Caenorhabditis elegans: one gene and its partners. The protein of the gene in region 1 interacts with the protein of each later gene in a pairwise test. Each region holds a gene or a part of one and is shown on either strand. Other genes may lie near its edges.

Region 1 (3,703 bases):
CTGGAATATGTACGGCAATTAAAACTGAGCTTTTTCTGCGTATCTAAAGGTCAGACACAGCAGTCCAGCTCCAATTTAAGCCTTGTTCGAGCCGGGGACTGTGACCAATAGTCCAGTCGTGGATTGCTCTACTTCCCACTTAAGGCTGGATGGACCTAGTGGGAGGTAGGACTTGAACTGGTGACCTCTAGATTGCTGGCGGCCACCACTGGTTCATTGTGTCCGGACCTCGATCGCGATGTCTCCACTGAGACATTATGCGTACATCTTAAGTTGTTCGAAGACTCTCGCATGACTTCCATGTTTCTTGTTCCAATAATTCCCAGACGTCACAAAGCATATTCCACGTGTTTTTTTTAAACCGCGTTTGGACGAGTGTTGGGAAAAAAAGAGAGTTGTGCTCTCATAATGGAGGTGTATTATGTGCTCACTTTCTCTCTGAGAAGTTGCCTCTTCAAGGATGATGGCTTCCCGTCTCCGGCCGTGGTCTACACCACCCGCGTGTGTTGCATCCCAAAACCGGATACTCTTACCTGCCGGTCAGTTGGCCCGGCAGCTCTCGCTGTCTCTCTGACGCCACCGCTGCCACTCGAGTGCACCGAGTATAAAGAGCACAGTGCTCCGACACTTTAGAGTCAAATTTTCTTCCGATGGCAAATCGGCTACTCACACATCAGGAACAGATTTTGCTCTGTTCTCTGTTTTTAAGATTTTCTAGACACCGTAGTTTCCCTATTAGACATGCAACCCTTGCTCTATTTTGTTATATCTCTGTTCCCTTCGGTTCTATCAAAAAACTGTCATTAACTGACAAAACACGTGCAAAATATTTATCTACAGTTAGACAGTAAACGCCGCTTAAGTAGATCAATGAGTTTCATGTCCAATATGCTAAATACGGTAGGAATCATTTTTTCAACTATTCTAATTTTTCTTGTAGCATTAAAAAAACTATCAACTAACATCCTAACTACTATTTAAGTATCAAGCATTGCAAAAATTTAAAGAAGCAAAAGGCTCTTACTATTAGAAAGCTATATGTTTTCCATTGACCACAGACTCCGGGCTTTTCATAAAAACCTTAGCAATCCGAATATAATTGGAAAGTTTCTATATATGCTTCAACCGTGATAAGATAAGTTGAACGACATTTTGACAAGCGCGCGCTCACAATCTTTTGGTGTATGTGTGTGTGTGTGTGTGGGGTCACTCAAGTATTTGAACATCAATCGTCCACTTCATTTTACAAACACATAGACTGGACTGAGCCCGATGGGGGAAATGAGAGAGTTTCGTGCCGCGCGCAAAGAGCACGTCGCCGCGCGGAGGCGCCAGAGTCTAAGCTAACACAGAAAGTCGGAGGGAGACGAAAAAGAGAAGACGGTCAGTTAGTGTCCCCTCCCCTCTCTCCTCACTGTTACGTACAAATGACCATTTAGTCTTGCTGCTCCATCGGGCTTCTCCTTGAGAACAAATCTTCAGATTTATTTTTGAGTTACCTTACTCTACCTACTAATTTTACAGTTTTACTTACATATTACTCTTTATTATTTATCTGAATCTTTATTAGTTTCCTGATATAATATTATTATTATTATTAAAATTTCAGGCCAGCGCAGGGTCAGGTGTTCCTACTTGTCTTAAAACCTTCAAATAACTCATTATGAAGCAACTCGCCATCTCCTTCTGCATTATCCTCCCCCTCGCCTGCTTCTGGGTACTGAACGCAGAAGACGCGAAAGAAGGTATGTTGTCACTCACTCTTCAACTCCTAAAATCCGACTTTCAGCTCCAGAAATTCGTGAAGCCAACTCCACAGTATTCCGTCAGAAGAGGCAGTTTGGATGCCCATCCAATTGCTATTCCTCATGCAGTTCCTCGTCCCAGTGCCAGAGATATTCTGTCGCATCTGTCTGTGTCCAAGGATGCTGTTGCCCAGGAAACAATAACCTTGATAGTAAGTTTTTTTAATATGAAGGTTGTGTAGGAAGTTGAAAAATTGCTTTTTTTCATAAATCAGAGATGTTAAAGAAAACGTCGCAATTATTAAAAACTAGGAGCGGGGATAGCTCAGTCGGTAGTATTGATAATTAGCAATCTAGAGGTCACGAGTTCAAGTCCTGGCTTCCCTAGGTTCAGTGTACCCAGATCCGTTCATATCGCTTAAGTAACGCATCGTCCTTTAACCCTTTAGTAAGGAATATGAGATAAAAGTTGAATGCTGACACCTTTAAAATTTAGATCTCCCTTAGTTCAAACCTCAAACCTTATCAAAATCATATCAAGAGATATCAAGAATCCAGTCACCGTTCCAATTTCTCAAGTGTCCCCGCCGTTCCCTTCCGGTTCGAGCAAACACACACACTGATTACCTAATGATTGCTACAACTCCCGGGGAGACGCTGCTTAGTCCCTTTTGCGGTGATGGAGACACCTTCTTATACGGCTCAACATAAATACAAAATATTTGCGAAGTTTCGCGGGGTGTTTGCGTTTGCTCGGTGCGTGCTGCTGTGCTCTGTGTCTCACGAAGTCGGCGCGGTTTGGACAACACGCACGAACCTATCTTTTTCTATCTTTAGCTCGTATCAGAACGAGTTCAAATATGGGTGTGGAAAGTCGTCTAATTCCAACAAAAATTTCAGCCGCCTGCTCCGGAGGACCAGCCGTCGCCGCCTGCCTCGGAGGACTCTGCGGACAAGGATTCTTCTGCTCGAGCAACAACTACTGCTGCAGATGCCAATCCGGAAACAGCACGGGACCATGTGTAAACCAGGTCTGCCCAACCGGATTCATGTGCAACACCAACAACTACTGTTGCCCACTCGGATCCGGAGGAGTCCTCGGATCATGTGTCAACGGAGTCTGCCCAACTGGATACACCTGTGGAGCTGGAAACTTGTGCTATTTGAGCAGTGGAAAGTAAAAAAATGGAATTCAATTTTTCCCTTTTTTCATGCGACAAATTGCCCCCAGTCTTTCTATATTTTTATATATTTTTTTAATATATTGTACTTTCCTTCTCCGTTCTCTGACTCTCTGCTCCTTTTAAATTATTCTAATCTATTTGAAACGAATCGTTCCCACCACCAAGACAACAACATCAACAACAAACGAAATCCCAAAAAAATATTTGAATTGTTTTTAAATTTAATTTGTTTATTTATTATTTTATTTTAATTAATGAAATAAAAAAAGAAACATTTGACACTCTACGACGATATGTGAGAAAAAATATTATAGTTTGCAAATCAAAATTTTCAAAATTTCAAACAAAAAAAAGTATAGTTAATTATGCGAAAAAAAAACATTGAGAGATGCTGATGATTTCTGTCATGAAACCGGAAAAATATGAAATAAAACTTAAAGTAGGGGGGCACTGGGAAGAAGAAAAAAACAAAATCATAATGCAAATGTGCTCTAATAATAACTAATTCAAACAATTTTATGCTCGTCGTGAGGATGATGATCATAATCATAGTCTGTATGAACAAATGCACGTTCAACTTCCGGCAAGCTTTCGATGTTTGATTGGAGGGTCTCACTGATGTCATGGGATTCTTTGAGGATCATATTCTCGTCGAGCACAATGTGCACCTGGAAATATTACAGATTTTAGAGTAGCACAATAATTCAGTTGTAAGCTCAGCCTCTTCAGAAATGTGCGATACGGGCTTATGTTAGGCCTAGGTGTAGGTTTAGG
Region 2 (4,073 bases), 3.5 Mb from region 1:
ATATTTTCGGGTTGAAATGCGTTTTACCGTTACACGACGTGCTAGAAATTAGAAGATGCTCTTTAAAAATCGAAAAGGTACCGAAACCAACTCGCTGTCAGGTGCTGGAATCCACAATGTAGATGTCCCCGTCTGAATTGCTACTTTAAACAATTGGTAGGGCTTTCCAATAGTGATTATCCCAATATATTCAGAGTCTTGAAAATCTTGAACGTCTTGAGGCACTAGAGCTTGATTTTCAAAAAAAGATCCACGTCGAAGATTTTCAACTTTTTTTGACTCTCGGAAAACTAGGTCATGTTTAAAAACAGCTGCTTCAGAACCATGTGATGTAAAATATAAAATAAAAATTGAATATAGAAATAGCCAATAAACGTCTTGTACCGTGGTACTTACGACAAAATGAATCGGAAATTACTGATCAAAAGCTTATCAATAAGAAAGTGACAGAAATGTTCTTATTGAACTTTTTAGAAGCTTTCTAACTAGAATACATCTGATAGGCATCAATGAACTTTATTTCTTTCTAAACACGCAAGAAAAAAGTTTTGAAGAACTAATTGGCCTGAAGGGAGTTGGCGAATCCCATACGTTGTCCTCCAATATCGTAAATATTACAGAATTGACGGATGAATGGATCTCCGAGAATCCAAGCTGGTCCGAATCCGAAGTTGTTAAAAGCGAAGGCAGCGAAGACGCAGGTGTCTCCCATTCCAACGTCAACGATGTAGTTGACTGGGTTAATTGAGTAGACCTTTCCTCCGATGGTAATGTCCAAGGTTCCGATGTTGGTGGCGCATGGAACATAGTAGGAGTCGTCGTTGCTGTGGTACTGAAAGAATGGGAATTGTTCTTTTATGTCTTCTTACTTATAAAAATATGTTTAGTTACGGGAATCTCAAACAACAACTTACAGTAGCTCCAAGAGCACTAGCGAGCCCGGCAACAACAGCCTTTGGTCCTCCGAGGAAGGAAGTTCCAGTGTCGGAGATAACTTGGTATTTCTTAGAGTTTGAATAGGATCCAAGCTTGAATGAATCAGCGACGAATTGATAGTATGTGGCAGATGAAAGTGGTTGGTAGGCAATCACTGGTCCGCAGTTGGTAGTATCAACTGCTCCGTAGGTGAAGACACCTCCTCCAACATCGTTGGCAGATCCCTTGTGCTCAAGCCACACGGTGAAAAGTGGTTGATCGAGAAGTCCTTGGTTGATAGCGTTGATGAGTGGTGGAACGACATGGTCGACAGCGAGGGATGTGAAAGCAAGTCCGAGGATTCCCTCAGCGGCATCCTGAAAGAGAAAATATTCCCACTGTGTACTATTCCATGTGAGTAGAAGCACTTTAGCTGCAATAAATTTTTGCATTCCTAAATTTTGCCACTGTGTTTGAACTGATAATGATCGTAAAAATGCATTCTTAAAGTCATCGTCATAAAAATCGGCACTAAAAAGCTGTTTGCTTTACATTTTTCTGTCCTTCTAATTACAGAAAATGAAAAAAACAGAAGGAAAAAAACATGTGTTAAAATAGATTTTCGGATACTTGAAATATACATTAGTTCTTGTTACACTATAAACTTACATTCTTGAAGTCGGATGAAATGTGTGTGGCAATTCCAAAAGTGGTAGATGGAACTGGGAGTTGTTTCTCGGTGACGGCTCCAAAGGCAACGGTATCCTCTCCCAAGTATCCCTTGGCGTTTCCAGATCCGTATTGAATCTGCCATGGCTTTCCGTTGGCCTTGAAAGTCGAGGACTTTGTTGATTGGTACTCTCTCTTTCCTTTGCAGGATCCACTGGAAAATAATTATCAAAAATCAAAAACAACAAGGATTTACTCACTCGCAAGATGGTCCTGGAACCCAGAGGTTTGAAGATCCGGTGTCCAAAACAACGAGGAATGGCTGTGGTGGAGTTCCGATGGTGATGTTTCCGAGATACTCGAAATCTCCAAAGTCGTTGACGTTTTGTGGAGCATTGGCATACACAGCTGGGTCAGCGTCACGAAGAGCAGCTTTGTGTTGGACGTATGCTCCCCATTCTCCACGTCTCATCATTTGCATCTTGATAGATTCACGGTAGATCAGCTTGTGCTGGACAACGGTTGCCGAGCACAGGCCCAAAAGGGCAACTAGTGCTACGAAAGTGGTCTTCATACCTGGAAAAATGGTCGTGAAAGTTAACATTAAATTATAAATAGTAGGAAAAGCTGACAAAACACAGAAAAAAGGTAATACGAATGAAACAGCTCAGTCTATGAAATAGATAAGAATAAGGAGAATTCGTACTACAAGTTAACAAATTCCTATTTTATTTGAGTTGACAATGATTTCTTATCATTTATACTCAATCAGATAACGGTCTGTGACGTGGGTTTTCACTTCACAAAATTGTCCAGAAAATGAAAAAAGAAATAAGGTGTACATGACGATATGTATAAGTTGGACTTTTGACCATAATCACGTAGATCACACACTGAAGAAAAGTAAATTGAAGTATTCATTTTCATTTCTCACAATCGCATTGCATAGAGTTTATTTTGAAGAAGGCTGGAGAGACTTGGCAAAACCAATGCGCTGTTGTCCGATGTCATAGATGTTGCAGTATTGACGGATGAAAGGATCTCCGAAAATCCATGATGGTCCGAATCCTCCGAAATCGAATGAGAAAGCAGCAAAGACACAAGTGTCACCCATTCCAACATCAAGGATATAGTTGACAGGTTCAATAGAATACACATTTCCTCCGATAGTAATGTCCAAAGTTCCCTTAGATGTTGAGCATGGGAGGTAGTAAGCATCATCATCGCTGTGGTACTGGAAAAGGTTTAGATATAAAGATTAAAAAAACTGTTTGTCCCTCACAACGAGTCAAAATTAAACTGATACTCACTTTTGCTCCCAAAGCTTGAGCGAAGCCATTTATCACAGCACTTGGTCCTCCGATGAGCGAACTTCCAGTGTCGGAAATCACTTGAGATTTCTTATTGTTTGAGTATGATCCGAGCTTAAATCCATCAGCAACAAACTGATAATACGTGGCAGATGAAAGTGGTTGATAGGCAATCACTGGTCCGCAGTTGGTAGTGTCAACGGCTCCGTAGGTGAAGACACCTCCTCCAACATTCTTTGCCGTTCCCTTATGTTCTAAAAAGACTGTGAACAGAGGTTGATCGAGAATTTTCTTGTTGATGGCGTTGATCAGTGGTGGGGTAACTCCGTCGACTGCAAGAGATGTGAAGGCAAGCCCGAGAATTCCTTCAGCAGCGTCCTGAAAGTTTCGTTCCGATGAAGAATCAAATAATCTGGGAAATAGATCTTACATTCTTAAAGTTAGACGAAATGTGAGAGGCAATACCGAAAGTGGTAGATGGGACAAGAAGTTGTTGTTCTGAAGCACCACCAAAAGCAACAGTATCTACTCCCATGATTCCCTTAGCGCTTCCAGATTCGTATTGAATTTGCCATGATTGTCCGTTTTTCTTGAATGTTGTAGATTTAGATGAGTCAAACTCGCTCTTTCCTTTGCATGTTCCACTGAAAATGATAAAAATTTAAAAACCATTGTGTAAGGTGGCTACTGACTCGCAGTTACTTCCTGGAACCCAGAGATTCGCAGAACCAGTATCCAAGACGACAATAAACTGTTGTGGAGGAGTTCCAATCGTGATATTTCCTAGGTATTCAACATCTCCAAAATCATTGACATTTTGTGGAGCACTGGCGAACACAGCTGGATTGGCGTCACGTAGGGCAGCCTTGTGTTGAACGTATGCTCCCCATTCTCCTCGCCTCATCATTTGCATCTTTGGCGATTCCCGATAGATCAATTTATGCTGAACCACAGTTGCCGAGCACATGCCAAGAATGGCTACAAAAGCGAGAAGAGTTGTCTTCATTTCTGAAAAGATTTATTGAATATTTCGATGTTTTCAGTGCGTGTTGTGTTTTGAAATAAAAGAGGTTTCATTAATTTTGGTTGAAATCATGTTTGTTTCTTGATTCTACTAGTTTTTCAACGAACAACTGTTTGAAATACAATATCATTTAGGTTGACTTTTGTGCGAGACTG
Region 3 (4,181 bases), 200 kb from region 1:
ACAATTTCGAAAATATAATGTTCGTAATTATTAACAAGTTTGTGTTGTCTCAGAGCCATGTCTGAAAAAACAGATTTTTTTTCGAAAATTATAAAAAGCTCGTAGAAATTCGGTTTTTGACAAATCTATACTCAATTTTTTTGTTTGAAATTTAGTTCAGTGACATACAATTTCGAAAATATAATGTTCGGTATTATTTATAAGTTTGTGTTGTCTCAGAGCCATGTCTGAAAAAACAGATTTTTTTTCGAAAATTATAAAAAGCTCGTAGAAATTCGGTTTTTGACAAATCTATACTCAATTTTTTTGTTTGAAATTTAGTTCAGTGACATACAATTTCGAAAATATAATGTTCGTAATTATTTATAAGTTTGTGTTGTCTCAGAGCCATGTCTGAAAAAACAGATTATATTTTCGAAATTGTATGTCACTGAACTAAATTTCAAACAAAAAAAGAGAGCATAGATTTTTGTGAATTCAGTCGGCAAGTAGCAGTGAAATAAGTCAAAAAAGGTTTATTCTAATCTCAATTTCAGCAATAGAAAAGGCCTATGTAGTAATAAAACAGAAAATCAGCGAAAAATTAGTCTTTAACATCGAGAACTTTCACTTCAGCATCCTTCCTGTCTTGTTCTGCCAAGAATTTATTGAGCTTTGTCTTCGACTCCTCCATCTCTTCGACTGTCTCAAACCGTTCCGACTCATCAATACTATTTTTGAGCACTGGTGACGTGCGTGGAGCAATAAATTGGCTATTAACCATTGCGTAGGCAATTCCAATGTTAACACCGTCAACGGCTCCCTGGAATCGGCGCCAGTACCATCCGATGAATCCGCACACGAGGACGGCGCGATCCTGAAAAAAAAATGATTAGTAAATTTTGAGTTTTGGAAGTAAAATTATGAGGCAATTACTAGTGAAAGAGTCTCAGCGTTACATCTGATCGAATAACATCTATTCTTCAATTCACTGTCAGTTGTTCCAGATAAATGGGTCTCGAGACGACTTAGAAATGGAGCAGTGATGAGCCCGGCGATGAGGAAGCGACCCTGGAAAAAATTATTTTTTGGAGACAAATGACGTCATTAATTTGCAAATTTTGAATTATTTTCAAAAACCACAAAAAAAAGCGATTTACTGAAAAACTCATAAATTTACTTTTTTTTCCAAAAAAATTACACTCGATATTATAAAAATAGCACAATTTTAGTCAAATTATTAAAGTTTTTTATTTATTTATTTATTTATTTTAATGTATATTTCTTGTTTTTTTTTACAGGAAAATTCTTAAATTTTACGTTTTTGTTCCATTTTAAATAGGTTTGAATATTGAATTTTTTCTTTCAAAAAAACAATTTTTTTCGTGTTTTTGGAGAACAATTATTCGCTTTTTTTCGAAAAAAAAAAGAGCAAAAAATAGTGCAATTTTGGCCAAAATATTAACCGAAAAAACTGGGAATTTTATAAAAAAGTTTTTAGCTATTTTTCTTTTTTTTCCCAGAAAAACCAGTTTTTTCGAATTCACCTGCAATTTCCTGCAAGCATTTTTGATGATTTTTTCCGAATTTGGCGTCATCAATTTCGGATTCAATTTTCTCGAAAGATACCAACGATAGAGAGGATGTGCAACAAGACCACCTGAAACTGTATTTAGTGATTTTCAAATAAAAAACGACGAAGTTTTTCGGAAATTTTTTTTTTAAATAATAGGGTTTCCTAATTTTTTTCCAGAAAAATGAACAAAATTAGTTTTAAAATAATTTTAAATGAAAATAAAAATATTGTTTTTTGAAACATAGCCTACAATTTTTTCTTTTTTTTTTGAAAAGAAAATCTTTTTTTTTTTTGAAAAATTCCAATTTTTGTAATTTTATTTTCTTTTTTTTTTCGATTTTTTCTACACAGAAGTTATTTTTTTCTGTAAAAAATCAATTTTAATATATTCTTTCTGCGGAAAATCCTTTTTTTTAAATTATCCCTGAAAAAAAAATCATTTTTTCTCGATTTTTTTCTGAAAAAAATTTAAGTTTTTAATCTTTTTCTGGAAATAAAATCTTTTTGCTGAGAAAAATAAATGCTTTAATATTTTTTCACAAAAAAATTTATTTGTCTATTATTTCTGGCACAAAAACCTTTGTTAATATTCTATCTGAAAAAATATATTTTTTTCGAATTTTTTAAATATTTTTTTTGAAGTAAAATCTTTTTTTTAATTTTCTGGAAAAAAAATCAATTTTTTCCGTGAAAAGTTGCCATTTTACCTATCACACTCATCACTTCGGCAGCCTTGAAAGTCGCGAAAATCGCATATTCCACGTGTGGCCTCGGGATATCAGCCAGTGATTGAGCTGTGATCCATCGACTGGAAATTTGTGAAAAGTTGGCAAACCACGCCTCTAAACCAATCATTTTCCGCGAGAATCTAGAGAGCATTTAGGTGTGAGCATATATTAATTTAGGCAGAGAAATTTGGAAAAAATACTTTAAAAAATAAATAGTTTTGACGCGAGTACTTCTAAAATATGCAAGAAAATAGAGAAAAAACTTAATTTTTAATTTTTAGAGAAAAATTAAGAAGGAACAATTAACAAAAAACGATGATGATGGAGTAAAACAGTAAAACAACAAAAACCAAAAAACAAAGAAACAAAAAATTTTCAAAAATAAAAATTAACAATTTAGCAGATAAATTCCAGATTCCAGAGCTTCAGGAGCTGCTCGCCGATGAGCCAAGAGCCTTTCGAAGTTTTGCTTGTTCCTTCTTCGATAAGACTCTGCTGATGTCCTTCTTTCGAGATTTAATGCTCTTTTCGCGTTTTGCCTCACTTTCGGCCATCTGGAATTTTCAAAAAAGTTAAAATTTGAAATAAAGTTTTTAACCTTTTTTAAAAAGTTTTATTCTAAGAAAATCGGATTTTTTTTGAAAATTAGCAAAAATTCCATGTTTTATCAATGTTTGTTTATATATTTTATAAATTAGTTTTCTAGAAATATGGTTTTTAAAAATGTCTTGAAGAATATTTTTCGACCAATCGGGAATTTCAACGATTTTTTAAAAACAAAAATGTTTCCTTTGTAATTTGAAAAAAATTGAGAAACAAAACATTTTCGATTTTTTCTTGAAAAGTTTTCGTTAAATCTAAAATCGATACACTTTTCGATTTTTTTTTAATAGAAAATCGAAAATTTTCAATTTTTTATACTTAAATTAAATTAAAAACGAAAAAAATACGAATATTTGTTGAAAATCGAATCACGAAAATTGGTGGATTTATTAAAATGAAAGTCGAAATTATTTTTGTAATCCTTTGAAAATTAAACAAACCGATCTATTTTCTTTTTTTTATCGAAAATTTTCGAGTTTTTTTTCTAAAAGTCGAAAATTTGGAACAATCAAAATTTGTAATTTTAGCATTAAAAAATTTGTTCAATTCGTTGTTTTCTTTTTTTTAAATTGCAAATATTTCGATTTTTCGGAAAAAACTTTTTTTGAAAAACGATTAATTTTAGATTTTTTTTTTAAATCAAAAACGAAATTTTTTTGTTTTTTTTTCTAATTAAAGACAAAAAGTTTACGATTATTAGTTTAAAATGGAAAAAAAAACGAAAATTGTTAGACTTTTAAATGAAAATAGAACAATTAATTTTTTGAATATCGTAAAAAAACGAATTGTTAAATTTTTAATTTTCTTCAAATTGAAAAACGAGAAACAATTTTTTTTTGAATATCAAAAATCAATAAAAAATTCAAAAAACTAAATTTGTTCAATTTTTCGATTTTTTTTTTGAAAAACGGTATTTTGAAAATCGAAGAATTTTTTGTTTTTTGAAAAACTAAATATTTCTATAAAATATTCAAAAAAAAAACCAAATTTGTTCGATTTTTATTGAAAACATAGAAAAAAATTTTTTAATTTGTTTTTTTTGTGAAAAATCTAAACCTGTAATTTTTAGCATTAAAAAATTTGTTCAATTTTTTATTTTTCTTGCAAATATTCAAAATTTCCTGCAAAAAAAAAGCAACACCTCTTCAGCCTTTCTCTTCTTATATCCTTCCTTAATATTCTCCTGCTTCTTCAAATCAACATCATTCAACGTTCTCAACATATCCATAAATCTCTCTCGTTTCGCCTCTTCCGGTTCCAACACCACTGCCGTATGCCGTGCAACAAGTGAATCC

The links.
Region 2: the proteins of R02F11.1 (region 1) and asp-5 interact in a two-hybrid assay, tested with the Caenorhabditis elegans proteins (one large-scale study listed by BioGRID).
Region 3: the proteins of R02F11.1 (region 1) and txt-6 interact in a two-hybrid assay, tested with the Caenorhabditis elegans proteins (one large-scale study listed by BioGRID).

What each region holds. Positions count from the first base shown.
Region 1 is NC_003283.11:4,799,485-4,803,187, forward strand, and holds R02F11.1 (CC domain-containing protein), read left to right. Parts: upstream 1-1,609; 5' UTR 1,610-1,663; coding exon 1,664-1,745; intron 1,746-1,789; coding exon 1,790-1,957; intron 1,958-2,645; coding exon 2,646-2,926; 3' UTR 2,927-3,200; downstream 3,201-3,703. Other genes in the region: R02F11.3 (Cation efflux protein cytoplasmic domain-containing protein), read right to left, coding at 3,436-3,597.
Region 2 is NC_003283.11:8,270,472-8,274,544, reverse strand, and holds asp-5 (Peptidase A1 domain-containing protein), read right to left. Parts: upstream 2,161-4,073; 5' UTR 2,159-2,160; coding exon 1,845-2,158; intron 1,799-1,844; coding exon 1,585-1,798; intron 1,293-1,584; coding exon 915-1,292; intron 833-914; coding exon 557-832; 3' UTR 501-556; downstream 1-500. Other genes in the region: asp-12 (Peptidase A1 domain-containing protein), read right to left, coding at 2,537-2,818, 2,895-3,272, 3,325-3,538, 3,587-3,900.
Region 3 is NC_003283.11:4,604,504-4,608,684, forward strand, and holds txt-6 (transcellular chaperone signaling (x)cross tissue), read right to left. Parts: upstream 2,426-4,181; 5' UTR 2,411-2,425; coding exon 2,263-2,410; intron 1,646-2,262; coding exon 1,527-1,645; intron 1,051-1,526; coding exon 916-1,050; intron 857-915; coding exon 584-856; 3' UTR 501-583; downstream 1-500. Other genes in the region: Y61A9LA.10 (Bms1-type G domain-containing protein), read right to left, coding at 2,709-2,837, 4,028-4,181.